7 linked regions of the Oryctolagus cuniculus genome follow. The protein of the gene in region 1 interacts with the protein of each later gene in a pairwise test. Links are inferred from orthologs where the notes say so. Each region holds a gene or a part of one and is shown on either strand. Other genes may lie near its edges.

Evidence for each region.
Region 2: the proteins of GLRX3 (region 1) and MOXD1 interact in binary tests that used the Homo sapiens proteins (3 or more experiments, as listed by UniProt). The link is inferred for Oryctolagus cuniculus from reciprocal best matches to the Homo sapiens genes GLRX3 and MOXD1.
Region 3: the proteins of GLRX3 (region 1) and RGS20 interact in binary tests that used the Homo sapiens proteins (3 or more experiments, as listed by UniProt). The link is inferred for Oryctolagus cuniculus from reciprocal best matches to the Homo sapiens genes GLRX3 and RGS20.
Region 4: the proteins of GLRX3 (region 1) and TRIM36 interact in binary tests that used the Homo sapiens proteins (3 or more experiments, as listed by UniProt). The two-hybrid records come from large-scale screens. The link is inferred for Oryctolagus cuniculus from reciprocal best matches to the Homo sapiens genes GLRX3 and TRIM36.
Region 5: the proteins of GLRX3 (region 1) and CA9 interact in binary tests that used the Homo sapiens proteins (3 or more experiments, as listed by UniProt). The two-hybrid records come from large-scale screens. The link is inferred for Oryctolagus cuniculus from reciprocal best matches to the Homo sapiens genes GLRX3 and CA9.
Region 6: the proteins of GLRX3 (region 1) and MAPKBP1 interact in binary tests that used the Homo sapiens proteins (3 or more experiments, as listed by UniProt). The two-hybrid records come from large-scale screens. The link is inferred for Oryctolagus cuniculus from reciprocal best matches to the Homo sapiens genes GLRX3 and MAPKBP1.
Region 7: the proteins of GLRX3 (region 1) and CIAPIN1 interact in binary tests that used the Homo sapiens proteins (3 or more experiments, as listed by UniProt). The link is inferred for Oryctolagus cuniculus from reciprocal best matches to the Homo sapiens genes GLRX3 and CIAPIN1.

Annotation. Positions count from the first base shown.
Region 1 is NC_091446.1:2,053,028-2,057,550, reverse strand, and holds the start of GLRX3 (glutaredoxin-3), read left to right. Parts: upstream 1-1,510; 5' UTR 1,511-1,596; coding exon 1,597-1,694; intron 1,695-4,523. UniProt on the Homo sapiens protein: Together with BOLA2, acts as a cytosolic iron-sulfur (Fe-S) cluster assembly factor that facilitates [2Fe-2S] cluster insertion into a subset of cytosolic proteins.
Region 2 is NC_091436.1:36,737,431-36,741,186, forward strand, and holds part of MOXD1 (DBH-like monooxygenase protein 1), read left to right. Parts: intron 1-505; coding exon 506-685; intron 686-1,238; coding exon 1,239-1,341; intron 1,342-3,104; coding exon 3,105-3,271; intron 3,272-3,756.
Region 3 is NC_091437.1:78,680,402-78,684,909, reverse strand, and holds the start of RGS20 (regulator of G-protein signaling 20), read right to left. Parts: upstream 2,988-4,508; 5' UTR 2,875-2,987; coding exon 2,710-2,874; intron 1-2,709. UniProt on the Homo sapiens protein: Inhibits signal transduction by increasing the GTPase activity of G protein alpha subunits thereby driving them into their inactive GDP-bound form.
Region 4 is NC_091437.1:5,489,094-5,493,436, reverse strand, and holds the start of TRIM36 (E3 ubiquitin-protein ligase TRIM36), read left to right. Parts: upstream 1-1,379; 5' UTR 1,380-1,387; coding exon 1,388-1,513; intron 1,514-1,541; exon of another isoform or gene 1,542-1,582; coding exon of another isoform or gene 1,583-1,690; intron 1,691-4,343. UniProt on the Homo sapiens protein: E3 ubiquitin-protein ligase which mediates ubiquitination and subsequent proteasomal degradation of target proteins. Involved in chromosome segregation and cell cycle regulation. May play a role in the acrosome reaction and fertilization.
Region 5 is NC_091432.1:198,588,348-198,592,621, forward strand, and holds the start of CA9 (carbonic anhydrase 9), read left to right. Parts: upstream 1-1,413; 5' UTR 1,414-1,485; coding exon 1,486-1,831; intron 1,832-2,590; coding exon 2,591-2,620; intron 2,621-2,847; coding exon 2,848-3,018; intron 3,019-3,164; coding exon 3,165-3,307; intron 3,308-3,390; coding exon 3,391-3,483; intron 3,484-4,274. UniProt on the Homo sapiens protein: Catalyzes the interconversion between carbon dioxide and water and the dissociated ions of carbonic acid (i.e. bicarbonate and hydrogen ions).
Region 6 is NC_091443.1:64,896,436-64,900,031, forward strand, and holds part of MAPKBP1 (mitogen-activated protein kinase-binding protein 1), read left to right. Parts: coding exon 1-218; intron 219-678; coding exon 679-845; intron 846-1,060; coding exon 1,061-1,206; intron 1,207-1,317; coding exon 1,318-1,515; intron 1,516-1,687; coding exon 1,688-1,772; intron 1,773-2,035; coding exon 2,036-2,328; intron 2,329-2,527; coding exon 2,528-3,085; intron 3,086-3,456; coding exon 3,457-3,542; intron 3,543-3,596. UniProt on the Homo sapiens protein: Negative regulator of NOD2 function. It down-regulates NOD2-induced processes such as activation of NF-kappa-B signaling, IL8 secretion and antibacterial response. Involved in JNK signaling pathway.
Region 7 is NC_091449.1:40,983,004-40,986,168, reverse strand, and holds the end of CIAPIN1 (anamorsin), read left to right. Parts: intron 1-1,327; coding exon 1,328-1,409; intron 1,410-1,807; coding exon 1,808-1,918; 3' UTR 1,919-2,410; downstream 2,411-3,165. UniProt on the Homo sapiens protein: Component of the cytosolic iron-sulfur (Fe-S) protein assembly (CIA) machinery required for the maturation of extramitochondrial Fe-S proteins.

The sequences.
Region 1 (4,523 bases):
ACCACCAGGATGTCAGTATCTCCACACAGTCCACCAGCTTTTCCAGATTTCCTGGTTTGCTTGTACGTGTGTGTGTGTGTGTGTGTGTGTGTCAGAGAGAAGAGAGGGAGCGCATACTTAGCTCTATTCAGTCATGTTTAGGTTCATGCATCTACCCCACAACCAAGGTACAAAATAGTTCTCACCCTCCTACTGCACTTTTTAAAGGATTACTTTTATTTATTTTTAGATTTATTTATTTGAAAGAGTTACTGATGGAGAGGGACTGACAGAAAATTTTTTTAATAAAAAGATTTTTTATTTTATTTGAAAGGCAGAGTTGCAGAGAGAGAGAGAGAGAGAGAGAGAAAGAATCTTCCATCTGCTGGTTCTCCCCAAATGGCCACAATGGCTGGAGCTGGGCCAGGCCAAAGCCAGGAGCCAGGAGCTTCTTCCAGGTCTCCCATGCGGGTGCAGGGGCCCAAGGACTAGGGTCATCTTTCACTGCTTTCCCAGGCCACAGCAGAGAGCTGGATCGGAAGTGGAGCAGCCTAGTAGCCTGGTCTTGAACTGGCGTCCATATGGGATGGCGGCACTGCAGGCGCCGGCCCCAAGGCTGCTTCTCATCACTAGGGCTGGGGAACGGAAGGCGGTGTGGGTCAGCCGTCGTGGCGCAGAGGTCAGACCAGCCTCGGGACGCCCCCATCCCAGTCGGACTGTGGATCCAGCTTCTTCAGAAGCAGAAGACGGTGGCCTGAAGGGTGCCGCTCAGGCAGGACACCCCGGCCTGGCCGGCCCCGCCCTGGCTTTTGCAGCCATTTGGGTACTAAACCAATGGAAAGAAGCGCTCTCTCTCTCTCTCTGTGTCACTCTGCCCTTCAAGTAAAAAAAAAACCTTTAAAAATTTCACAAAAAGAAATGTATCCAAAACAATTCAACATGCAATCCGTGTATAGATTAATTTTTTTGGAAGACATCTTTGAAATCCGGCCAGTGCAGGTCCCAGCCAGCCACCGGCCACTGAGGGGCAGTTCAGTTCCTGGTTCTCGTCCAGGCACCTGGAGATGCCCTCCTGCCCACCCTGACAGCAGCCTAGGAGACAGGCACAGGAAGCAGCAGCCACGGTGGAGCAAGCACGGGGCACCCCGTGGACCCAGAGCTAGCTGGGGGAGGTTCCGTGGGGGACCCCCGAGGCCCAGGGACCCCACAGTCCGCAGCCCCGAGGGCCAGGGACCCCACAGTCCGCAGCCCCGAGGGCCAGGGACCCCACAGTCCGCAGCCCCGACGGCCAGGGACCCCACAGTTGAGAGCTCCGAGGGCCAGCGGCCCTGAACCGGGAGCCACAGAGACCCCACAGTCCGCAGCCCTGACGGCCAGGAGCCCCACAGTGCGGAGTCCCGGGGCCAGGAACCCCGAGGCCCAGCAGCCGGGGCGGCCAGAGCCCAGCGCCCCGAGCCCGCCCAGGGCCCGCCGCGGGCGCCGCCTCCCGTTTCCCAGGATCCTCAGCCGCGGGGCGGGCCGGGGGCGGGGCTTTCGTGCGCGCAGCCGCCGTGAGCGCCGCGGCCCCGCCCCGATCGAGCCGCCCGCTGTCGACTGCTCCTGTCTGGCGGCGGCAGCATGGCGGCGGGGGCGGCTGAGGCGGCTGAGGCGGCGGCGGCAGTGGTGGAGGTCGGCTCCGCCCGGCAGTTTGAGGAGCTGCTGCGCCTCAAAGCCAAGTAAGCGGGGCGGCGGGCGGCGGTGGGGAGTGAGTGCGGGCAGAGAGGGCCGCGCGGAGGGCGCTCGCCTCGGCCTCGGGGAACGGGCCGGGGTCGCCGCGGCGCCCCGGAGCCCCCGGGCTGGGCAGCCAGCGAAGCCGCCGGAGCCCGAGCCGCCGCCTGCGGAACGGCCGGCAGGCGGGGGGCGCGGCGGGCGGGGGCCCGGGGGCGGCCTGGGACCCTGGGGCCCCGACCCTGCGGCCCCCGGCCCGGGCGGCCCGGGCGCTGGCGGTGACTCAGCTCTGCGGCAGGCGGAGGGGGCTGCGGCGGGACCCCCGCCCGCCCGCGGGGCCCGCGCTCGCCTTGGCCTTCGCCCCTGGCTGCCCGACCTCGCGGTGGGTCCCGCTGCAGCGGGGGCTTCGGTCCCCGTCCTTACCTCGGCCCTGAACCTGCTGGCTCCTTGGGCGGGGAGGGCCCGCGACCTGTGGCGGGCTCAGGCGGGTTTCCTCGTCCCAGACTGGCTGGGGAGGGTCCGTCGGGCTGGGCGCACGTGCTGCTCGCCCTCCAGGGGCCCGCGTTTTGCGGGGAGAGGGGCGCTCGTGCAGCCCTGCGCGCGCCCAGCGGTTGTCTGAGCCACGCGCTGGGCGGTTGGGGTGGGCGCTCGCTCCAGTGCCCGGTGGCAGCCCCGCCGCCTGCGAGCCACGTGACCCCTGGGCGGGTGTGGAGAACCGAGCCTCGGCGTGCCCCGCGGGCTCCCGCGTACGCTGCTGCGCGTGGCCTGCGGGAGGCATCCCGAGCGGGCTGTGTTGGGGGGCTTCGCAGGCGGGCGACCCGAGGCAGGTGATGCCCCGTCCTGGGGCCGGGGGACCCGCTTCGTGGAAGCCGCGAGGGTGGAGTGTGGAGGCAGGCAGCCCCTCGGCATGTCGAGTCTCCTTGGGGTGTTCGTGGAGCGGAGCAGGGCGAGGGCGGGCGGTGCGGGGCGCTCCCGGTGGAGGCGGGTTCTGTCACCCGGGGCTGGCGGGAACAGAGCAGTGGGGAGGCCCCCGCAGGGCGCCCGCGCGTGTGGGCCTCGCCTTGCTGGCCGGCTTGCAGCTCGCTCAGGGCACCTGCGTGCTGCACGCCTTTGTGTTTGGTTCCTGTGTGAGCCGTCCTGACAGGTTCCTGACAGGTCAAAGTTCACATAGAAAAGCCACTTGGATGTGTTTCGGGCGCTGGTCAGAGAGCCGCGTGCCCTGCGCGGTGGCTGATGGGCGTCTGAGGGCCGAGCAGGGGCCGACGGAACACTGCCTGCCTTCCAGGTCATCCTTCGCCAGTCCTCCAGCCATCACTGACCCTCGCTGCCCCGCGGGACGGCAGGGGCACGTGGCCAGCAGTGGGGGCTTTGCTCACTGGCTGCGCCCTGGAGCGGGGGTGCGCTCCGAGGGGGAGCGGCTGGACGGAACCCGCCTGCAGGAGGCCGTGTGGGCACTGCTCGCTTTCCTGACGCGGACCTGGGTTAATGACGCCGTCTACCACTTGGTCCGGATCTCATCCTCCTCTTCTCTGGAAGTTCCCTCCAGCAGTGCCTCGGACGGGTGGGCTGCCCTGCTGATGGGAGAAGGCTGTTCCGTGAACTCCCAGGCAGTGTGCCCATTGGTGTGTGCTCCAGGTGTGTGTTGAGATCGTGGGCGTGTGTGCTGAATTGGAAAATGGAGGTTAGGACATGGAACCTGGGCGCATCCTGGCTAGGGCAGAGTAACCGTCAACGCTGCTAGAATGTCAGGTGGTCGAGGCCCTTTTGTACGTGTTTGGTCTTTCTGGCATGCCAAGGTGGTAGGCACTGCCGTCTTACAAATGTGGAGTTACTGTTAAAACCGCCTTGGTAGTAATGGAACTGAAACTGGAATCCAGATCCGATCCATATGCTTTTTTCTTTTTTACGTATTTGCACTCACACTGTTACAAAGCTTGATAATTTATCTTAATTTTAAAAACATGTAATCGTATTGTGAACATTTTACTGTGGCGTTAACAATTCTTTTAAAACTTGATTTTTAGTGGCTTTACATATGTTTTAATGGCCATTAAAAATCTGTATTGTTAGATGTTCCCAGCTATTTGCTTTGTAAAATAATGGTAAAATATCCACATACATAAATCTTTACCACTTTAGTTACTTCTTCAGGATATTTTCATATTTTAAGAAATTTCTGAAGGATCCCAATTTCAACCAGCAGGATATGAAAGTGCGTCTCACCATCTTGTTTATCATTCAATATCATGATTTAAATAATCCTTTGTGAATTTGATGAAAAGTGATAGTCTAGCTTTTTAAAAAGTTGAGATTGGTTACATACATTAATGAAATGCACAAGTCTTGATTCTCTGATAGATGAGTTTTTAAAATTTATCTATTTGAAAGGCAGAGCGACAGAGGGAAAGGGGGGGGGAGAGAGAGAGAGAGAGAGAGAGAACTCTTCCATTCACTGGTTCATGCCTCAGAGCCCACAACAGCCAGGGCTGGGCTAGTCGTTTTCACAAACTGCATCCTGGTCTCCCATGTGGGTACAGGAACTCGAGTACTTGGGCCGTCATCTGCTGTCTCCCAGGCACACGAGCAGGAAACTGGGTTGGAAGAGCTGGGACTGTACCCAGGCTGTCTGATGCGGGATGTGGGCCTGCCAAGTGGCAGCTTCACCTCTGTGCCATAGTGCCTTCTCCAAGACAGGGTGAACTTTTTTCTTTTTAAAATTTATGTGCTTGAAAGGCAGAGTTACAGAGAGAGAGAGGTGGGGAGAGAGAGTGAGCTTCTGTCTGGTTTAATCCCCAAATGGCTGCAATGGTCTGGCCCAGCCCAAGCTGGGAACTCCT
Region 2 (3,756 bases), on another chromosome or scaffold:
AAGCAGGTGTATATATAAAAATAAATGGGACATCATCTATCATGTCCAATAGGGATGGGTAAAGAGAAGATTTTGAGGTGGGAGAGGAAACAATATTTGCACCTATAGTTCTGAATTCTTTCTTCTAGTGCATGGGAAAAAATAGGAGGGAAGAGGATCAATGCAAGGTAAAACCTAGAAGAATGTAAGCAAGTTTTTAAATAGTTGCTTAGCAGAATGGGTAAAGAGAACAAATGTGAGTTAAAAACAAAACATAAGCAGACAAGTAAAGTCCTCTGATTCTTGGAGTAAATAATTATCTTGGTTGTTGCCCTTATCATTATCATCTTCTTCATCATCATCATCATCATCATCATCACCTCTAGCACAAATTATACCTGAAATGCATAATTGAGAAGGATGTCTGGACAATAAACTGGTGATCAGTTATGCTAGTTTTGTACTTGTTGTAGGATGTTGTAACATGGTTCTCCCCATCACATCCTTCTTGTTTGTGTCTGTGCAGGTGGAGCCAGTGATACAGAGAGGACACGAGAGTCTGGTCCACCACATCCTGCTCTATCAGTGCAGTAGCAGCTTCAATGACAGTGTCCTGGACTACGGTCATGAGTGTTACCACCCAAACATGCCCGATGCCTTCCTCACTTGCGAGACCGTGATTTTTGCCTGGGCCATTGGTGGAGAGGTGGGGCTAATGATCACTGAGATGCAGCAGGAATAACTGATCATGTTCCCACCCTCCCAAATACAGTTCTAATAAGTAAAGCTCTACACACTATTTTTGATATGAGGGTGGTGTATTTCTGTTTTCATGGAAAGGATTCTTCCTGTAAATCATTTTATCTAATCAAATATAGAATAATGGAGTTCTTTTTTTAACTTTTATTTAATGAATATAAATTTCCAAAGTACAGCTTTATGGATTACAATGGCTTCCCCACCCCATAACTTCCCTCCCACCCGCAACCCTCCCCTTTTTCCCTCCCTCCCCCCTTCCATTCACATCAGGATTCATTTTCAATTCTCTTTATATACAGAAGATGAGTTTAGCATATATTAAGTAAAGATTTCAACAGTTTGCACCCACATAGAAACACGAAGTGAAAAATACTGTTTGAATACTAGAATAATGGAGTTCTAAAGGGTCAAAGTATCTTATAGAATCCTTGGCCTCTGAGTGGAGTAGAGCTGTCAGGGACTTACATGGTATATCGTCTCATGGAATTTTCCATATTTAGGGTTTTTCCTATCCACCTCACGTGGGATTATCCCTTGGCACTCCGTTAGATCCACATTATGTGCTCCTAGAAGTCCATTATGACAATCCAACTCATAAGAAAGGTGAGTTTAACACTTTGTATATTTTACTTATTAATTTTTAAAAAGTTTGTAGCTCTTACCTTTACTGAGGGGCTGCCGTTGTGGTATGTTGGATTAACCCACTGTCTGCAATTCCAGCATCCCACATGGGTGCTGGTTCATGTCCCAGCTGCTCCAATTCTGATATAGCTCCCTACTAATGTGATTGGGAAAGCAGCAGACCATGGCCCAAGTCCTTGGGCCCCTACACCCAAGTGAGAGACCCAGATGAAAATCCTGAACCCTGGCTTCAGTCTAGCCCAACCCTTGCCATTGCTGCCCCTTGTCGAGTGAACCAGCGGATGGAAGACCTCTTCCTCTCTGTCTCTATAACTCTGCCCTTCAAATAAATAAAATAAATCTTTTAAAAAAAGGGTTGAAACAAAACTGCAAACAGGTTGCAACAAATTGACCTATATGTTTATCATCCAAATTAGGGTACTTTGTAATGTGAAAAAAAGCACTATTCATGATTATACTGGGACAGTCAGCATTAAAACACACTGAACTAGGCAAATGGGCACATATGGCTATAATCTGAAAAAAAAAAAAAGCTTACATATTACCTGCCAGGAAATAGAATAATAGACATTTTTCATTTGTGATATAAATTAGTTCCAAATATACGGTGCTTGTGAAATATTTTCTTTCTAACTGCATATATGGAAAAGCCATCATTTGTTATGATAAAATATACTAAGTTTTTTGTTGTAACTCACAAACATATTTAATAAATCTTTATGTAGTGGCACTGTGCAATATGTTAAAGAAAGAGGCATTGCACTTTTGATGTCTGAATCTACTTAATTTCAAAACTAAGAAATTGCTAGATTTTATATATAATTATCAAAATAAGCAACTTAAAGTTATTATTTTACATTGATTCATATGATTATTGTGCAAATACTAACCACCAACTAGGTCTATTCTTGATTATATAACATGAATGAAAAAGCAACACCATGTCAATGCACACGGAAATAACAGACTAGTGGGAAAAAGAAATGATAAAATAATCATATCAGTTAACAGAAAATTGTATAAATGCTAGTTGACCCAAAGCCAGGATATCTGACACTATGACAGCATATAATTGGTAATGTCACAGAGTCAGAGGTGTGTGGTGCACATGGTTCAAAATTCTTGGAAGTACTTGAGATTCGTAATCTCTCACCTTGTCATAACCTTGCCATAGCAAGAACATGACTTATTCATGTTTCATCTCCACATTGATTAATGCAGTGCTGTTCATGTAAGAGATTCTTAATAATTATTTGTTAATTGAATGACTGTTGAATGAATAAGACACTGGTGACAAACTATAGACAGTTCATCCTTAGCATTGTTCTCCATCAGTAGGTGGCTTCTAGACCCAAAAGTTTTCACTTCAAAATAAATGTCATTGAACTTCACCTCTAAACACTATAAAAGCCACTTTTATTGAGTTATTCTATATTCTCATGATGACTATAATTTTCATTCTGTTGTCATATTAGATAATAGTGAAATGTATCAGTTTTTATCTCAGTAATTTCCCTCAGGATGTGATCTGTGTGTCCACCACAGTGGCAGACAACGTGGTGACTCATTTTAAGTCTTTCATGTGAAACTAATTGTTGTCTTACATTAATCTCTGCTTCTATCATTTCTCTTGTGAGATTTAAAGAAAATAAATTAATTTCAACTAAATACAAGGGTTTTAATTTAAAAAATCAAATACATTTAATGATGTACTCTTATTACAGGCTTAATAGATAATTCTGGACTGCGGTTATTTCATACAACGGATATAAGGGAATATGATGCTGGAGTAATTGAGGCTGGCCTCTGGGTGAGCCTCTTCCATACCATTCCTCCAGGGATGCCAGAATTCCGGTCCGAGGGTCATTGCACTCTGGAATGCCTGGAAGAGGTATGCAGTATCTGAGTTTTTGAGCAGCTATCTAAATATTAAGCAGTGCTCTTAGAAACTACGGTGTGAAAAATTATATGTTTGTTTATTATTTTGCTTGCCAGCACATTGTGAAACCATTATGATATTTTGAGCAGAAATATTGTCTTTTTAAGTCATGAAGTCCACAGGAGTATAATTCCAAAGACAAGAATAACTTGTAGGATATTTTTCCTTCTTACTCCTTCCATTTGTTTATATTAGATACTTTATTTAATCTTTTACAATTTATATCTTTGTTTGTATAGTCTTTCCTTTCACTTCTTCACCTTGTATGCAAATTTTTTTTCATCATTCATTTCATTTTTTCTGTTTTTCTTGTGCTGTGGACAGTATGGCAGATTGGTGCAGTGGGAGAACGATTATGCTCTTTTGAGTTATTTAGACCATGACTCTGATGGCCATGTCACCATGTTGGCTGTAAGACCAAGGGTGATCTATTTAAT
Region 3 (4,508 bases), on another chromosome or scaffold:
TTTATATAGTTGTGTGTTCACAGCAAGATCTATGTTATGCTCTTTCCTTAGAGAAGCCTCCAAATTCTACCTTTCAGAAATATCTTCTGCATGAGTTGTCTATTTATTTATTTATTTATTTATTTATTTTGGCAAGAATCTTTTTTTGAAGGTTTTTATTTAATGAATGCAAATTTTCATATGTACAGCTTTCAGAGATTATAATGTTTCTTTCCCCCATCCTTGCCTTCCCACCTGCACTCCCATCCCACCTTCCACTCCCTCTCCCGTTCTATTTTCCATTAAGATTTGTTTTTAATTGACTTTATATACAGAAGACCAACTCTTTACTAAGGAGAGATTTCAACTCTTTTCACACACACAGACACACAAAGTATAAAGTACAGTTTGAAGACAAGTGTTACCATTAATTCTCATAGTATAACTCATTAAGGACAGAGGTCCACCATGGGGAGCAAGTGCACAGTGACTCCTGTTGTCTATTTAACAACTGACACTCTTATTTATGAAGTCAGTAATTACTCGAGGCTCTTGACATGAGCTGCCAAGGCTATGGAAGCCTTTTGAGTTCACAAACTCTGTCGTTTTTCTTTTTCTTTTCTTTTCTTTTCTTTTCTTTTCTTTTCTTTTCTTTTCTTTTTTCATTTGACAGAATTAGTGAGACAGAGAGATAGAGAGAAAGGTCTTCCTTCCATTTGTTCACCCCCCAAATGGCTGCACACTTGGTTGATCCTCCGCCTGTGGCACCGGCATCCCATATGGGCGCTGGTTCTAGTCCTGGTTGCTCCTCTTCCAGTACAGCTCTCTGCTGTGGCCCAGGAGGGCAGTGGAGGATGGCCCAAGTGCTTGGGCACCTGGACCCGCATGGGAGACCAAGAAGAGGCACCTGGCTCCTGCCTTCGGATCAGCGCAGTGCGCCGGCTGTAGTGGCCATTTGGATGCCGGCGCTGCAGGCAGAGGATTAACCTAGTGAGCCACGGCACCGTTTGCACAGGGCCATGTGCAAAGTGGAAGTTCTCTCCTCCCTTCAGAGAAAAGTACCTCATTCTTTGATGGTCCCTTCTTTCCCCTGGGGTCTCACTCACAAAGATCCTTCATGCAGAACTGATTTTTGCCACTATGTCTTGGCTTTCCATGCCTGAAATGCTCTCATGGTGTTTTTAATCAGGCCTTAGGAGCTGATTCTGAGGTCAGAGAGCTGCTTAGGGTGTTTGTCATTCTATGAGTCTGCTGTGTGGAAAGCTTCCAATGTTGGAATTTTCTCTCCTTTGTAATTCTATCTATGGTTATTACCAGGCACTTGGACTTATTTATATGATCCCTTTGACTTATGGTCCTATGTATATGATGAATACCATACTTAATATGATCACTTTATCACATAAGATGGGATGAGTGCCACCCAACTAAATAGGATTTTGAGTCCCCTGATGAGTTGCCTACTTTTAGATACCCATTAATGAAAGATTCCTGGCCAGTACATCCATTTTATTATAGTTTCCTAAAGACCTAGTGTCTAGGTGATGATAGGGGTGTATGAAAATTCATGTGTTATATGTCTGAAAATTCAAATGCAAAGTCATTACATTTCTACAGAAAATATCTCCTAATGACTTTTTAAATTTTTCTTCTGTTTGTTCTGATTGGCTGAAGTAACTTCAGGGGAAAGGGCAGCTATAAACAGAGAATGCAACAGAGTCTGCAGATAAATAATGGTTGTTATTATCAGGATATAAGCATAACACAGAGACAGATGACTCTTTTAGAGTTCAAGTATTTGGACAGGTGTGCTGTAGTGTGATCTTGCAGCATTTAGTTCTGATTTCAGCTTGCTATTTGTGAGACATTAACATGTATTCACTCCCTCCACACCAAATAACCTTTTAAGAGACTGTTCTATTAATAGTTAAGAGGATTTACAGACTTACAATGGACTTTCTGCAAGGATACCACACAGGAGATCTGTCATTATTTTTGGAAAATAAAATAACTTCATGGTAGAAATTTAAATATGAGCACTTCAAAAAATTCATAGAAAATAGAATCAAAGATAAATTCACTTTGGTATGAGCATTTTTTGTAATTCATTGATTTTTTTCATAATGCATATTTGTCATGAACTTTTTCTCATATGCATGGATTTCAAACATTTTTACACCAAAATAAACTCATCTTTTAATACTATTTCCATGAATTTTTAGAACTGTTATATTTAAGGAAGTTCACCTTAGGAAACTATGAATATAGAACACTAATTCTTAGCTCTGTAAGTTTCTTCCTACATTCTTGCATTTGTTGATGAATTTTTTTTCTCTAGTGATTTTCTTAGGAAGCAGCCTATCACTTTTCTTTCTTTACTCTATGGGCTATTATATTGGAGAAAAAATCTGAGGAGTAATATCAACAGCCACAAAATGTATATTCCTATTTTCTGCTTCTTAAAACATCATCTCCTAAAATAAGCAAGCAAGAAATAAATCAGCATTTGTTTTGCTGAGGGAAACAGTTGAGGCTGGAGAAACTGTACAAGTCAGTCATTACCACACAAGCTCGACTTTTTCCTTAGAGTTTGTTGGAAAACGTTTTAGATAAATCTTCAGTGAGATAAAGTGAGTGACAACGCTAGAGCTGACTTGTGGTTTTATACTTTCTGTGGATTTACCCTCCCCCTTGTCAAGAAAGTGTTGGAGATGGTGGGGATTGTCTTACCTGGACGTCAGGCAGAGCTTGCAGGACCCCTTCATTTTCTGTGGTTTGGTGAATATTGGCATTATATCGCTCAGTCCTAAACAAGGGCTGAAATTGTGTCCATATAGTTGGCCTGGGGAAGGGCTTCTGGAGGCACTCTTGGTTGTCTTGGGTAAGCCTTGGCATGTTCTTACGACAGAGGCCTCACGTGAATCCTGCTGCCTGGTTTTTGCTCAGGACCTTCTCTGCTTCTCTTCATCTGGCTTGTGCTGGGTCCTCTCAGAGTCTGCCTGGAGCCTCCCTGGAAAGTCACATGGATCAAAGCCCAAGGATTATCTGTTCTGTGGGTCAGTGGCCCTTAGTGTTCTATTCCAGGTAGAGCCGCTTATTGTGAATGCCTAAGTGTGTTATGACTGCCCTCTATAGGTAGGAACTAATTCAAATACAACCCTAAACCAAAATGGAAAGGATTCAAGTGATACACGGTCTAGTACATGATGATAGATTACATAGCAAAAATTGCTTGGCAAACATTCTGTGTTAATAGTTTGTGACAGGTAATCGTACCTGACAATCTTGGGCTGTGCAAGTGACAGCAGATTGTCAATCTAATTTCTCCAGAGTTCTTAAAAGATCACTTTAGTGATAGCATCAAAACTTAAGCTTAAAGGTTATTACACTTTTTATTGACATCATGTGGAACTAGTTATATTGGTTTTCTTAGAGGTTGCTAGACACCCAATGATTAAGACAAGAATTGGCTTGTATTACCATACTTCATATTTATAAACTACTTTATAAATAGGAAGTTATCAAACAGATGTTAAAAAGTAGAATATAATACCTTAACCTCAAGAAGTAACTAATGCCTAAGTAGTTTCTGTTGGGTTCACGGGGTATAAAAAGATAAGGGTTCCAGATATACTTGGGATTATGAACTAGAGAGGTTTCCTTTTGTAAAATGATCCCAGGTCCCCCAAATAAATCTATGCATTCATTGTAATCCCTCTCAACATTCCTTTTTTGCAGAAGGTAACATTTTTTGTAACTTTTTAAAGCATTGTTTAAACTCACTTATGGGGCTGGTGCTGTGGTGCAGTAGATTAATCTTCCACCTGAGGCGCTGGCATCCCATATGGGCACCGGTTCTAGTTGCGACAGCTCCTCTTCTGATTCACCTCTCTGCTATGTCCTGGTGAGCAGTGGAGGATGGCCCAAGCTCTCGGGCCCCTGCATCCATGTGGGAGAACTGGAAGCAGCTCCTGGCTCCTGTCTTTGGATCTGCCCAGCTCTAGCCATCGTGGTCATTTGGGGAGTGAACCAGCAGATGGAAGACCTTTCTCTCTGTCTCTCCCTCTCACTGTCTGTAACTCTACCTCTCAAATAAATAAATAAAATCTTTAAACTCACTAAGAAGAAACACACAAGATACAAAGAAATCCCAGTAACCCTTTCAGTCCCCAGAAGTTAACAAGTTGATCCTAAAATGCATATGCAATTGTAGAGGACCCAAAATATTCAAAACATTACTGAAAAAGTGGAACACAGTTGGAGAATTTATATTTGCCTGGTTTAAAACTCATCACAAGATTATAGTGATTTAGATGGTGTGATATTGGCGTAATAAGCACAAGCATATAGATCAATGGAATAGAATCAATAGTCCATAAATAAATCCATATAGTTATGATCAAATGATTTTCAACAAGGTATAAAGACAGTTCAATGGGGGAAAGAATTATCTTTTCAAAAAATGGTGCTGGGACAATTGGATGGCATTCACATGCAGAAAAATTAGTTTGGACCTCTATCCCACACCA
Region 4 (4,343 bases), on another chromosome or scaffold:
GATGCCGGGCCGGGCCCGCGCCTCGCCCGGAGCCCGCCGCTTTGTGCGCGCCCGTCGGTCGCGGCGGCGCCGGGGACCCCCAGGTGGAGGCGGGGCCGCGCGGGTCCCGTGAGGTCGCGCTCCCGCCGCGCCCCCGGCCCCCATGGCCCTGGCGCGGCCCCGCACTGCCCTGCGCCTCGCCCCCGGTTGCGGCCGGTGCAGGGGCGGTCGGCGGAACTCGGACTAGGAGCGGAGGAAGCAGCGGGACGAAGAGCCGTTCGAGGCCCCGGGCCCGGCTGTCCCGAGCTCGCGCGGCGCCATGACCATGTCCGAGTCCGGGGACGGGGGTGACTTCGGCTACATCATGGACCTGCTGGCCAAGGGCAAGGTGAGCGCGGGAGCGCGGCGGGCGCGGGGCAGCCCCTTCTCTCGCTCGCTCGCGGCTCGGAAACGCGCCCCGGAGCCTTCGGGCGCGCGTGGGGCCGGCGGGGCGTGGCGGGCGCGCAGCTCCGAGAGCCCTGCGCGCGAAGACAGGGAGGCGGACCCGGCGCCGGCCCGGGGCGGCCCACGCGCCGTGACTCCAAGTGGGCGACCTCCCCGGGGTCCCGGGGCCGCTGGCCGTCGGGCCGCGCCGGGGGAGTGCAGCCTCGCTTCTGGCTGGGCCGGTCGCTCAGTGCGGCTGCTGCGGGAGGACCGGGTTCCAGCCACGCACCTGCAGCCCGGCGAGAACCTTCGGAACCCGGGTCGCGCAGCTGGCTTCGGCTCTACGTGGACAACCGGCCCCGAGAGGCGCCTAAGGGCTTGCGGACTGCTCCAGGAGCGGCCCCCGAGACCCAGGGCGGCGGGGAAGAGCGAGGGACGTCTGCCTGCAGCGAGGGAAATGGAGGGCCGGCTCCCCGCTAGCCGTCAGCGCCCGGGACGAGTCCTATCCCGCAGCCCCACTCCCGGCAGAAGAACCGGGCGAGCCGGGGCCGGGGCCGGGGCCGGTGTCAGGGCCCCGCAATGCAGGCCCCCGCATTCTCCGCTCCGCAGTCCCGACAGGTCAGCCCCAAGGGTTCCCTGACATCCTGGGGCCCGTGTCCACGCCTCAAAGCCACGTGGCCGACCCTCCCGCGTGCGGGGCGCCTGGGGCCAGCATATCCACACCCTTCGCGGTCGCCCCCAGCCACCCCTTGTCCCCCGAGGCTTGTGCCAGCACCCCCAAACGGAGCCAGATGAGGGGGTCCGGAAGAAGGGCCGGTCTTGAGCCAGAAGTGCGCAGCACGCGAAGGCCCAAGTAGCCCTCGGAGCCAGGCCGCACTGCGGTCAGCTCCCCCCATCCCGCCCAGGGCGCCGCCCAGGGGGCCAGCGGCGTGGTCACTGGGGGCCGGGGGCGGGGATTGATTACAAAATAAACGGACCTTTCTTGATGGGCTGCCAGGGGCAAGCGGGGCCGTGGTGCCTGGGCTGCCCAGGCCTCATTTCTCCAGCAGGCCCAGCCGGAAATCCTGCGAGGATGGTTTTGGGCTGGGCCCAGGTGATTAGAGGCACAGAGGTGAGGGATCCTTGCAGTTCCTTGGGGCGAAGGCAGGTTTGACGCAGCCGGCAGTGTGTGTACCACGTCATGCCCACTGCCGCCAGCAAACCCACCGGTGACCCCGGCTGCACCTGCTGCGTTCCTCGGCCTCTCGTGCTGGACCTCCCACCCTCTTCTGCAGGCGAGGGCAGACACGTGAGTGGTCTCCGCTGGGAGGCCAGGGTCACTTTGGGATCCCTGTGGTGGGAGGGCAGGCTCTCCCTGTGGACACCTGAGACCGCTGCTCCTCCTGCCTGGTGGCAGGGGACGCTGGTGAGGAGCCACCTCCTTGTGTTTCCGATCCCGTTTACTGCCCGGCTCCATTCCAAGTCTCTGCCTTGCTGAGCTCACTGGCGTCTGACCACTGGACCCGCTGGCAGACCTTGGACAGTGGCTTGCTGTAGTCTCCTCCCGGGAGTTGGGTTGCACTTTACTCTCAGGTTTGTGATGTCATGGCTGCTAGGGGCTGGGCTACCTGTGAGTGCAGCAGCTGAGCCCGGGCCTCTCCTGTCCGCCCGCCCTCCCCTCCTCCCTGGGCAGCCGGGTCCCACGGGTTGGCCGCTGTGATGTTTTCTTTCACTTTCCCTCCGGGTGATGTCTCATCTTTGCTGTGGGCGTCTCAGACTGTGCACTGCTTAATGTAAAATGCGTGCTTCCCACAGACGCAGACCTGGGAGCAGCAGGGCTGGCTCAAGTCACTAGGTTGCCACCTTCCAAGTGGAAGACCTGTGTGGGGTTTCCAGCTCCTGACCATGGCCCTGGCCTAGCCCTGGCTGTTGCAGGCGTTTGGGAGTGAACCAGCAGATGGGAGCTTGCTCTCTGTCTGGAAGTTCTTGTCCCCCTGGGATTCACTGTCCAGAAGCAGCAGTGGGCTCTCTCTGTTCTGGGCTGTGGGAGGTGAGCCTTTCCTGTCCAGGTGACAGAAAACCTGCCTGCCACACCTGATCAGCTCCTGCACTCCGCTGTGATGGCCGCTTCAATATTTAATGTACACCATGAGCTCTTCCTCTGTAGTCTTCTGCTCACCAAATTACCCCCTGTAAGTGTGGTTAATGTTGAGGGTCATTCTCACAAGGTTCAGAAATCAGTGCATTTCCTTACGGTTTACACTCAAGTGCAGCTTTTAGCATTTCTGAAAGCTGTCTTTATCTTCGGTGCCTCACCTCCCTGGACTACATGTGAGCTTTGGAAATCTGTGGTCGCTATCTAGAATCACTCCAGGCAGTGCTTGCTAAGTGCTTTGGTCTTTTTGAACACTTGGTCTCATCAATTTTTTATCGTGTTCACATACCTGTTCCCTTTGTACATTCTTAATGGAATCACGTGATGAAGATGTGACGGCCAGGAACACACAAGAGTGTAGGTGTAGCATACTTCTTTATATTTTCAGCATTTAGCGTATTGGTGCTTATATGTGCATAGCCAGAGGGTTCTTCCTGTTTCTGTAGTTCAGTAGGCGCCGTCCAGGCGTGGGCACTGGGGTGCGGCAGGTTAAGCCGCCACTGGAGACGCTGGCGTCCCCCATTGAGTGCCTGGTTCGAGCCCTAGCTAACTCCGCTGCGGATCCAAGTTCTTGCTAATGCATTTGGGAGGCAGCGGAGGATGGCCCAGGCACTTGGGGCTCTTGCCACCCATGTGGGAGACCCGGATGGAGTTCCTGGCTCCTGACTTTGGCTGTTGAGGGCGTTTAGGAAATGAACCAGTGGATGGAAGAGTTCCTGTCTCCCTCTCTCCCTCCCTCACCCTCTCTCCATCTCTCCCTCTCTCTTCTCTTTTCAAATAAATAAATTAAAAAATAACTAACAGTGATTGTTCAGGCATATTCAATGAAGACAGCAGATTGAGCAAAATGAAAAAGCGTTTGAAAACTTCCATCTAATTTTGGTCAAGAAACAGACAATGATCTTCTTACTTGGTGAATTATTATTTTAGCTTTGAACATCTGTGAGGCACAGAAAATTTCAAGAGATTTTACAAACACACACTTTTTCAAACAAAAAGACACTTATATTCTGAAATAATTAGGTTTAGAAAATCCCCAAATCTAGATTAATGTAAAGTCTTAAAACACCACCTTGGACCAAAACAAAAACCCACCAAATGACCTGTTTGTGAAGGCGGAATAGATATTTGCTCCAGCAACTGAAATCCAAACGGAGTGGTAATGGCAAGGTTGGGCTCCCTGGAGTTTTCTTCAAGGTAGCTTTGTGGATCTCAGGATGGGTGCGGTGTTTGTGCTGCGGCTGCAGGAAGGCAAACACAGATTCCCATTTGGCAATATCATTAGAAAACATTTAATTTCGGGCCGGCGCCGCGGCTCACTAGGCTAATCCTCCGCCTAGCGGCGCCGGCACACCGGGTTCTAGTCCCGGTCGGGGCGCCGGATTCTGTCCCGGTTGCCCCTCTTCCAGGCCAGCCCTCTGCTGTGGCCAGGGAGTGCAGTGGAGGATGGCCCAGGTGCTTGGGCCCTGCACCCCATGGGAGACCAGGAAAAGCACCTGGCTCCTGGCTCCTGCCATCGGATCAGCGCGGTGCGCCGGCCGCAGCGCGCCTACCGCGGCGGCCATTGGAGGGTGAACGAACGGCAAAGGAAGACCTTTCTCTCTGTCTCTCTCTCTCACTGTCCACTCTGCCTGTCAAAAATAAAAAAAAAAAAAAAAAAAAAAAAAAAAAGAAAACATTTAATTTCATAAAAGCCACTGTTTCCCTCCGATTATTTGTCTGCTCCCTGGTTCTAAGAGTAATTTGGAACAAAGTATCTCCTACTCTGTAAAAGAACGTCTCTGTCATAGTGTTTATGAAACTGTGA
Region 5 (4,274 bases), on another chromosome or scaffold:
GTATTTATCCTACACAGACAGACTGGTGTGTGCCTACTGAATATTAGCCCTACATTATGGACCTGAAGTGGCCCTATTGTCTTCTAGTTTGTTGCAGCCCCAGGAGCCTTACTAGAAAATGAGTAGAGACTGTTCTCTGTCCGGTACTCCGTCACTAGATCCCAGAGCAGTCCCTGGAGCGCGGGAGGAGACTCTGAAGTTGCTTAAACAGGCAGACCGGGAGCCCCTCGCCCATTCGAGAGCTGGAGATCCTCTCTTCTACGCTGTCTCCTTGTGCCCAGCCCTCCCTCCACTGCAAGCTCACTCGCCGCCAACATGCCCTAATATAAGAATTGGATTCCATCATCCTCATGCTCAAAATATTTCATTCCTCCCCTCTGCCCAGAATACCGCTGTCCTATTGTTTTTACAAACCAGCCTGCTACTTCTTCTCCTTCAATGCCCTGATCAAACTTTACCCACTTCTGTACCACCTTCGAAGCAGAATTCCTGCCTTCCCGCTAAATATTACATGATGAAAGTCTCCGTCTCCCCCGCACGAGGCTGTGAGCTCTTGCGGGCAGGCGCTGTGATGTCTGACTCATTTCCATATCCCTAGGATATGGCCCAGGGTCTGACATAAGGTAGGTGCTAAATATTTGTTGAATGCAAGAGTGGCTGGCGTCAATTGTTAAGAATTAGATTAACCAAGGTGGTAAAAGATTTGGAGGAAGAACGAATAGTTTAACTTGGCGGAGGCATGAGGGAGAGTAGCCAGAGATAAGATGGAAAGGTCCCTTGGGTAAGGTTTTAAGGGACTTGGACGTCAGAAGAAGGTGGGCATAACTCTGGTAGCCCGTTGGGGAGCTGACACAGGTTTTCGAGCAGGGGAGTAATAGGATGAAAAGTTTAAAAAATACATCTAGTTTAAACTCATCAGAGTCCCTCTCACCCATACTCGGAGTTTCCCATTCATGCCCAGGTTTGCCTCCCAGCCAGCCCTCCACTGACTCACCTCTAGGCCTACCCAGCAGCCCGCCCTACCCCTTTGCCTGTTCCCTACCTAGGCCAGAGGTGTATACGAGGGCTGCCTGCCTTCTTAGCCAGGGGTCTTAGGGACCCCAGCTCCTCCATCTTTCCCCTTCCTTGCCTGGGGCTGGGAAGCAAGCCAGGGTTAACTGAAGCTGGCTGGCAAGCAGCCGGGTAGTGCCAGGGAGAGCATGGACAGTGCCAGGTGGTGCCTTGGCTTCCAAGCCAAGCCTGTGACTTCGATAACCTTCCCTACGCACACACCTGCCCCTCACTCCACCCCTACCCAGCCTCTGGTATCGGGGAGGGGGGCGCGAGGCCAGATAGACCCGCGGGACTTTGGCTCGCTCTCTACAAAAGGGCATTCTGTGAGTCAGCCTGCTCCCCTCCAAGCTCGCTCCTCCCCCACCGGCTCCTGTTTCCAATGCACGTACAGCCCGTACACACCGTGTCCCGGGACACCCTGCAGTCAGCCGCATGGCTCCCCTGTGCTCGGGCCCCTGGCTCCCTCTGCTGACCCCAGCCCCTGCCCGGGGCCCCACCGCACATCTGCTGCTGCTGCTGCTCCTGGTGCCCGCCCATCCCCAGAGCCTGCCCCAGGTGCAGGGGGAATCGGCTACAGGAGGAGGTTCATCAGGGGAAGGTGATCCAGTAGGCGAGGAAGATCTGCCCAGTGAGGAGGATCCACCTGGGGAGGAGGATTCCCCTGAGGCTGAGACTAAGCCAGGAGAAGAGGACTCCCTGAAGTTAGAGGACCTACTGACCACGGAAGCTCCGGTGCACACTCACGGCCCCCCGAACAACGCCCACAAGGGCAAGAAAGGTAAGCTGTCGTCCACCTCCCGATCTAGGCTCCCCTAGGTTCATGCCTCCCTGCCCAGAGCCTGGTCCAGGCCGTGGTTCTTCAGAGAAGGGGCAGAGCCTGCTCTCTAACAGCCGCCGTTCCAGCCCCCAGAGCTCCTGCCCCACAAGCCCCCTCGCTGCCTGGCTGATGGGGAGAGGGAGGCACGGATGGAGAGAAGTGATGGGAAAGACAGGGGGAGGCTGGGGAGAAAGAACTGAGCATGCAAAGGAAGTATGCATCGGGGGAGGAGGAGGGAAGGAGAGCAGAGTACAGGGGAAGAGAGGGGGAAAGATGGGGCCGGACAGTGGGTATCCGAGGGAGAGGAGGAGAACTGCAGAGGTCATCTGTCTAGCCAGGAAACAGCAGGTAGAGGAATCTGGAATTCTGCTTTCCACACCAGGAACTTTAGGAAAGGAGTGGGAGACCAGAAAGAGCAGAGGGATGAGTGGGGGTGGTGTGGGGGCATGGGTGAGGGAGGGAGAAAGGAAAGTTGGCCCACGGATTCGGGCCCGGGGACCGAGCCGCCGCCCGTCCCTTTGCAGACCCCAAAGCAAGGGCTCCAACCGGCCTCTCTGGGGCCTGCGGGGGTGTTTGGTCGCAGCGCCCTGTGATTGACACCAGGCATTTGTTACCTGCGGTGCCCGCGCGGGGCGTCTGAGGACTGCGACCCACCATGCTCCCGCTGCTGGGCAGCACTGGGCATTCACGTCGGCCTGTTACCCCTTCTCATTTACACAGGGGACGACCACAGCCACTGGCGTTATGGAGGTGAGACGCGCACCCCCGCACGCCGCCCGGGGACCCAGCTCCACTGATGCGCCCCGCCGCCACCCCGGCCTCGCGCGGGTCCTGGGCGGCCACCCTCCGCCCGCCGCCTGTCCCGCCCACGCCGCCGAGTTCTAGCTCCCGATCCCATCCCCTCTCCGTTACACCCGGGCTCCCTCAGAGTCCCCGACCCAATGGCCAGACAGCCTCACCATCCTCTCTCACCCCAGGAGACCCGCCCTGGCCCCAGGTGTCGCCCGCCTGCGCCGGCCGTTTTCAGTCCCCGGTAAATATCCGCCCGGAGCTCACCGCTTTCTGCCCGGCCCTGCGCCCCCTGGAACTCCTGGGCTTCGAGCTCCCGCGGCTCCCAGAGCTGCGCCTGCGCAACAATGGCCACACCGGTGAGGGGGTCTCGCGCGGAACCCCAGCCAAGTCGGAGGGACCATCAGGGGACGGGGCGGAGCCTGGGGGGGCGGTGTTTGGGGGTGGGGCTGGCCCTCGCCGGCGGGTGAGGCAGAGTGGGATCACCCCGCCTCCCCCTTCTCAGTGCAGCTGACTCTGCCCCCCGGGCTGCAGATGGCCCTGGGTCCCGGGCGGGAGTACCGGGCGCTGCAGCTGCACCTGCACTGGGGGTCTGCGGACCGCCCGGGCTCTGAGCACACCGTCAACGGGCACCGTTTCCCTGCCGAGGTGAGCCGGGAGCAGCAGAGGAGGAGCAAAGGGCGGAGCGGAGTTGGAGCTCTGCACTAGTCTGACCCTCGCGTCCTCCCCAGATCCACGTGGTCCATCTCAGCACTGCGTTCGCCGAGATCGGCCAGGCCTTGGGGCGCCCGGGGGGGCTGGCAGTACTGGCTGCCTTTCTGCAGGTACGGCAGCACCTGGTCACCCTCCCACCCGCTGCTTCCGCAGCTCCCGGGCTCCCTAGCCGGTCCAGCGCGCTCAGCCTGGTCCCTGGCTGTCCCTCCTCCCTCGGGAAGCCCACAGCCAGTGCCAGAGGCTGACATTTTAGACATAGAGAGAATACAGGGTAAAAAGGGCGGCCAGAGAGGAGGTGAAACTTGAAAGAAAAGGAAATGCCCAGTACAGGGAGCAGTGCTGCCACGCCCCAGCTGATGGCCCACTTGGGGCATGACAGGAGCACAGGAGCACGAGTCAGGGAGACGGACAGTGCTAACGCTCCAATGGCCTATGGTTGCCCTTGGTGGGATGCAGTACTGTGACCTCTTAAATGATCACACAAGCGGAAAGACTGGAGCAGGCTGAGTAAAGTGAAGAGTGGAGAGACACCTGTGAGGCTCGCGCACGGTCTGCCTGCTCAGGCCGACCTGAGAGACCAAGGTTCAGAGAAGTGCGGCATCGGCATCAGCAGGGCAGGACCCCCCAGTGCAGGCGTCCATGCGAGAATCGTGAGTGTGGCTGCAGAGGTAGCAGGAATGCGAATCTGTACGATGGGTTTCTGTGGGGGACCATGGAGTGTGCGGAGGTGGTGACCAAAGTGAATAGGGCCCAGGTCACCGAGGCCTTGTCTCCAGGACGGGTGGCCCCTCCTTCCCCTTCTCCTCCAGTTTGCCATTGAAAACTGGTCTGCCGAGCTTGCTAGTTTGCAAAGCAAGAGTATTACGACTTTGGGTAATAATGAAGCTGTCTGTTTCCCTAC
Region 6 (3,596 bases), on another chromosome or scaffold:
TTCTGGACTCAGCTCCTGCAGCCAACCCTGGACCCAGGAGAAGGGGGCGCTGGGCTCAGCCAGGTGTGGAGCTGAGTGTCCATTCCATGCTGGACTTACGGCAGCTGGAGACACTGGCCCCAAGCCCTCGGGCCCCCAGCCAGGATTCGCTGACCACGAGCCCGTCTGGTCCTGGGAGGAATGATCAGAAGGACTCTGAGATCTCACATGCTAGCCAGGTAAGCCAGCTTCCTCCCAGCTGCAGAGACCCCCAAGGAGCCTTGGCCAGCGTAGGGGCAACAGCTGGGGCCTGAGCACAGCTCCTGCTCTAGTTGCTCTGCCCCTCAACAAACAGTTTCAGACTGGATCTGGCAAGGCTGTGTGCTGTGATGGAGGTGGACAGGGAAGGGGTTGGGGTGGAGAGGCAAAGGTGGCCATGGATCTAGGCTGGGTTCCTTGGAGGACTCTTAGTATCAGGAGGTGGCTGGAGGTTGGCAGCCCAGAGTGCTGATACGGTTCTTGCAGAAGCACATAGCGTCAGCTGGAGCCCAGCCTGGCTTCTTGGTGTCTGTCCTCAGAGCTGGAGTGTTCAGCTTCCCCAGAATTGGCATACCCCAAAACCTTGCTTGCCTTGATTTCTTCTCCGAGGCTTTCTCCTCCTATCAGCAACCCCAGTAATGCCCCTTTGTGTGTTCCCAGGTTGAAAAGGGCCCCCGGCCTCAGGCTTCCCAACCCTGTTCCTGCCCCCACATTATCCGATTGTTGTCACAAGAGGAAGGGGTCTTTGCTCAAGATCTAGAGCCTGCACCCATTGAAGATGGTATTGTCTATCCAGAGCCGAGTGACGGCCCCACCATGGATACCAGGCAAGGGTCCTGTCCTGGCCAGAACTCGTGGACCTGCAGCTCCAGTCTTCCCTTCCCTCTGAATGTTTTTTAATTTGGGGCGGGGGGGCTGGCCTCCAAGATGCTCAGGGCTTGGCTACCACCTCACTGCTGTCTCATCCGTAGCGCTGCTCACAGGCCAGAGTCCAGTGGTGCTACTGCTCACTGCCTTTTCTTCCCCACTGACCCCCTGGCAGTGAGTTCCAGGTGCAGGCTCCAGCCCGAGGAACCCTGGGAAGAGTTTACTCAGGCAGCAGGGGCTCTGAGAAGCACAGCCCTGACAGCGCCTGCTCGGTGGATTACAGCAGCAGCCGCCTTTCCAGCCCCGAGCACCCCAATGAAGGTGAGGCTGCAGCCTCATGGGAGCGACCAGTGGTGGGGGCAGGGGTAGAGCGGTGGAGACCCTGGCAACAAGCAGGTGCAGCATGATGCCTCTCCCCATCCCCACATCCAGACTCCGAGAGCACAGAGCCCCTGAGTGTGGATGGCATCTCCTCAGACCTTGAAGAGCCAGCTGAGGGTGACGAAGAAGAGGAGGAAGAGGAGGGAGGCACTGGCCCCTACGGGCTGCAGGAAGGCAGCCCCCATACCCCGGACCAGGAGCAATTTCTGAAACAGCACTTTGAGACTCTGGCCAATGGGGCTGCTCCAGGTGTGGTCAGAGGGCCAGCATTCGGTGCCTGCAGCCTCTTTTTCTCCCTCCTTGCCTAGCTGAGAGGGAGGGCCCAAGGCAGGCAATGCCTTGGGGTTTCCTTCTGGGGAGGCAGAATCTAGGGCAGGGGCTTGGCTCTTGCCTTCATTGATGATTCCTACAACCCTGACAGGGGGCCCAGTTCGGGTGCCGGAGAGGACAGAGTCTCGGAGCATCTCGTCCCGATTCCTGTTGCAAGTGCAGACTCCCCCACTCAGGTACAGAGACCTGGCCCCACAGCAGCTGCCGCTGTCCTGACCCCCCCAGTGCCCCTGCCTCCGGGGCAGCAGGCAGCCCTCCTCCCTTCAAGGTTCAGGTGTTTTCCACCCCTGGTCCTGGGAAACTGGCCTTGCCCCAACCCTGTTCGCTTTGTGCATGTTCTCTCCTGGTGTCTCCCTGGTGCTGAGAGAGCTGCTCACCGTCTTGGCAGGGAGAAACACAGAGCCTTCCCCGGGTCTTCTTGCATATTCCCTCCCTGTAGGGAACCGTCGTCCTCCTCAAGTCTGCCACTGATGTCGAGACCAGTCCAGATGGCACAGGCGTCTAGTGAGCAGCTGAGAGGCAGTGCTGCCAACCCCCCTGGAGCACCTCCGGAGATGGAGCCCTCCCCTGGCAACCCTCGCCCTGAGCAGGCAGGCCCTGTGCTGTTGCCACGACGCCGTTACAACCCCGACAGCAGCCGGGCCCCCAAGAGAGTAGCTGCAGCCGGCTCCTTACCTGGACTGCAGAAAGCCCAGTCTGTGCAGAGTTTGGTGCCGCAGGGTGAAGAGCCAGGTGGGCTCAGCTTCAGGGTGTGGGCATTGTTGGCTGCATGGACGTGATGGAGGAGGGAGGGGCTGTGGTGGCCCTGATGTGGCCCTGGGTGTTGCCTAATGGACATGTACAGGGGAGGAGTGGCTCCCAGAGCTTGAACCTAAGTACCTGGATGCCTCCCTCACTGCCTGACCTGCACATACCCCTGTTTCTTCTGCAGATGAGGCCCAAAGTGGCCTGGGCTTGCTGCCCCAGGCTGATGGCCATCCATCTCAGCCCTACTCCTACCAGAACTCTACCACCAGTTCCATGGCCAAGATATCCCGCAGTGTCTCTGTTGGGGAAAACTTGGGCATGGTGGCCGAACCTCAAGCCCCTGCCCCCAGCCGAGTCTCACCACTCAGCAAGCTGGCCCTGCCAAGCCGGGCTCACCTGGTCCTGAACATCCCCAAACCGCGGCCGGACCGTCCTACCCTGGCTGCATTCTCACCTGTATCCAAGGGCCGGGCCCCTGCTGAGACAGAGCAGCCTGACTCCTCAGCTGGCGTAGGAAAGGCTCCCAGTGCATCTGAGAGGCGGGCCTGTTTGGGGGAGGGTGCTACTCCCAAGCCCAGGACAGAGTGCCAGGCTCGTTCTGGGCCCAGCAGCCCCCGTGCCCAGCAGCTGCCGGTCAGCATTCTCCTCCGAGGCCCTGAGAACTTGCAGCCCCCAACCTCTGAGAAGACTCCCAACCCCATGGAATGCACCAGACCAGGGGCAGCCCTGAGCCAGGACTCAGGTGTGCACAGCTCCCCAGTTCTCATTCTTGCCTCATCCTTTCTCTCCATCACTGTTGGCTTCTCTCTGGCTCCATCCCATTTCTGTGTGTCCAGCCTCTGGTGTTTTTCGTCCTGTCTGCTCCTGTCTCGGTCATGAGTCACACCCCTGATGGTGAGACAAGTCCTGCCCACCTTCATGATCTCCCTGCGTCCCACTCAGCCTTCAGTGCCTTCTGGGGCTGGGTAGGCCCTCCTTTCTGGACCTTGCTGTCTCAGTGGTGTTGGGGAGGGCACTAGAAGGGAAGGAGGCAGGAGGGAGGGACCGAGGCCAGTGGGGGGTGGCGCGAGGGCAGCTTGCTGGGCCTCCCTGAGCTCCAGCCGTCTCTCTCAGAACACACGGTGAGCCTGCAGGAGTGTGAGCGGCTTGTGGCAGAGCTCCGTGCCAGTGTGCGCCAGGCTGTGCGGCTCTACCACTCGGTGAGTGTTGGGCACCCGCTGGTGGGAACTCAGAGCGGGTCAGCAGTGCTAGGT
Region 7 (3,165 bases), on another chromosome or scaffold:
GGCCACAGCAGAGAGCTGGATCAGAAGTGGAGTAGCCAGGACTCGAGAAGGTGCCCATATGGGATGTCAGCACCGCAGGTGGAGGCTTAGCCCACTTGCCACAATGCCGGCCCCCAATCCTTCACTATTTTTTAAATGCCTGTTTTATGTTGGATGTATTATACATAGAGCAGCAGTGGGGAATGTCCAGCCCGCAGGTTGTACTTGAAGGCCCACGACATCAGCTGGGCAGGCCCCGCCCAGACAGCTGCAGGTGGGATCCGAGATCCAGTGCATCTAGAGCCGGCTAGTTTTCAGGTGGACTTTTTTAAGATCTATTTATTTATTTATTTGAAAAAGTTACACAGAGAGAAGGAGAGGCAGAGAAAGAGAGAGAGAGGTCTTCCATCTGCAGGTTCACTCCCTGGATAGCCGCAATGGGTGGAGCTGTGCTGATCTGAAACCAGGAGCTTCTTCCCGGTCTCGTGTGGGTGTCGGGGCCCAAGCACTTGGGCCATCTTCTGCTGCATTCCCAGGCCATAGCTCAAAGCTCGGTCAGAAGTAGAGTATCCGGGACTTGAACTGGCATCCGTATGAGATGCTGGCACTGCAGGCGGTGGCTTTACCCACTACACCACAGCGCTGGCCCCAGGTTGATGATTTTGTATGGCCTGTGAATTATGTTATAAATATACAAATGGCTGTCAGCAGAAAAAAGGTCCCCACCCTGGCATGGGCCAGGAGTTGAACAGGTACCTTTTAAAGAACCACACACTGAATCCCCGTGTGCCGCCCACCCAGGTTCAGAAGCCTAAGCATCGCTGAGCCTCAGAAGTCGCAGGAACCCGGGAGGGGCCTGGTTTCCTGAGTTCGAGTTCTTCATCCCTGGGTTTGTTGGTAGTTTCCCCGCCCCGGGTGTGAACCCGCAGACAACATGGCCTTCAGTTAGGAAGAACCCGAGCCGGCGCTGTTCCGTACGTTCGCCCTGTAGGTGCAGGCGTGCTTCGTCAGCAGTTTGTGTCAGTGTGTGCCTGCCGGTGCTCGAGGTCAGGGACCCAGTGAGCGTCCAGGAAGCGCTGTGCTCTTCTGTTCTTCAGCAGCGTTAGATCTGCCTCCCGCACGGCGACAAGGACAGCGACAGCCCACGGGCGCAGGCCCTCCTGCTCCGCTTTGCCCTTAGCGTCTCCCCGTCTCCCCGCTGTCAGCCTTGTCTGCCCGTCCCCCGCCCCCGCGGCTGAGTTAGGACACCCAGGTGTGAATGGGAGATGGCGGCGCATCTTGGCGCCGTTCAGGCTTTCGCGTCTGGGCAGCGGTGAATCCCATTCTCCTGCGACCGCTGTCCCCACAGCACCTGCGGCCTTGCGGAAGAACTGGAGAAGGAGAAGTCGGTGCAGCAGAAGAGCTCCCAGCCCAAGTCGGCCTGCGGGAACGTGAGTCAGCCTTCCCCAGCCCAGGCGTGGGCCCGCCTCCCAGGCGCTCGCTGCCGCTGCCCGCTGCCCTCACACTGGGCGAGCGTGTGAGGATGCACGTGCGGCGGGGATGCGTGAGGGCGCGCTCGGGCCTGTGCGGGAGGAGCCCTTTTCCCTGCCTCCCGGTGGGTCCTGAGGTGATTCGGCCGCTGGAGAGCTTAGCTGCGCTCTGAGGCTCTCAGACTGAGGCCACGCGGCCTCGTAAGGACCGCGCCCTGCCTAGCGCTGCCCTGAACCCAAAGACATGTCCCGTCCCCGCTCCCCCGGCCGCCTATGCAGTCGGGAGTATCCTCCTTGCGGCCGTGTCTCCGGGCTGCCCTGACCTCGGCTTCCCTGCGGGCTCTCTCTCCTGTCTCCAGTGCTACCTGGGCGATGCCTTCCGCTGTGCCAGCTGCCCCTACCTCGGGATGCCAGCCTTCAAGCCCGGGGAGAAAGTGCTCCTGAGCGCCAGCAACCTTCACGACGCCTAGGGGCCCTCCGGCCGACTCCGCCCCTCCAAGGCCGCCCCGGCTGTGCTCCACTCTGTTTGCAATCCGTTTGCCAGAAGGTGCTTAGCAGACAGGGCTGCTGGCTGTGGGCGCAGTGGTGCGCAGTGCTGCTATGGATCCAAAGACCAAGGACTGTGGGGCCTGCTGAACCCACGCGGGGGCCTGTTTCCCCCAGTGTGAGGAGAAACAGAAGCCCCTCTCTGGCTGCTAACACGCTGACCAGAGCCCCTGAATCTACAGCCTGTGGGGAGGTCCGGGCTGCTGCCCCGCACACCTCAGGGCCTGGCGGCCTCGGGCTGGTGTCTCTTGTCTTCAGGGCACCACAGGAGCCATCGCTCACTGGTTGCTGTGACCCCGTCCCGTCCAGCGTCCCTCTGTCCCTTCCCACCATCCCATTTGACTGTAGTGTTGGATCTGTGTCCTGTTTCATTTCTGTTAACCTACAGGTATTAAACCCGCAGACTTCTACAATCATTTGTAGAGAGGGGTGTGTGTGTGTGTGTGTGTGTGTGTGTGTGTGTGTGTGTGTTATCTGCTGTGGGAGAGCCTCTGTGGCTTGGGGCGTGCGGAGAAGCAGGGCTGGGCAGGGCTGGGCGGCGAGGCCCAGCGCTGTGCTGTGCAGCCCTGTGGTCCCCTTGCTGCCCACCCGCACAGACTGGGACTCCAGCTGGCCAAATATTCGGAGAGATGATGTGCTTTTTTTTTGTTTTTAAAGATTTATTTATTTGAAGGCAGAGTTAGAAGGAGAGAAACAGAGAGAGTTTCCATCCACTGGTCCACTCCAAGATGGCTGAAATGGCCAGGGCTGGGCCAGGAGCCAGGAGCTTCCTCCAGGTCTCCCATGTGGGTGGCAGGGGCCCAAACACTTGGGCCATCCTCCGCCACTTTCCCCGGCCATAGAGACAGATCGGAAGTAGAGCATCCGGGACATGAACAGGCGCCCGTACGGGATGCCGGTGTTGCACACGGTCAGCTTCACCCGCTACGCCCTAGATTGTGTGCCTTCGAGAGCCCTGGAGTCGGTGATACAAGTGGTATCTGCCTTGGGAAGGTTGACTTGGTCCTCGGGTAGCTTTGCTCTCCCCGGTGCCTGCCAGTGGCGCTCAGTCAGGGGGGTGGCTGAGTTCTGGTTTCACTGGGACACCCCTGCGGTCAGCGTTAGTGACCCCTGGTGCCCAGGCCCTGCTCCAGTTCCTGCCCTGAGCGTGAGCACGGCCTGTGCCCGCCGT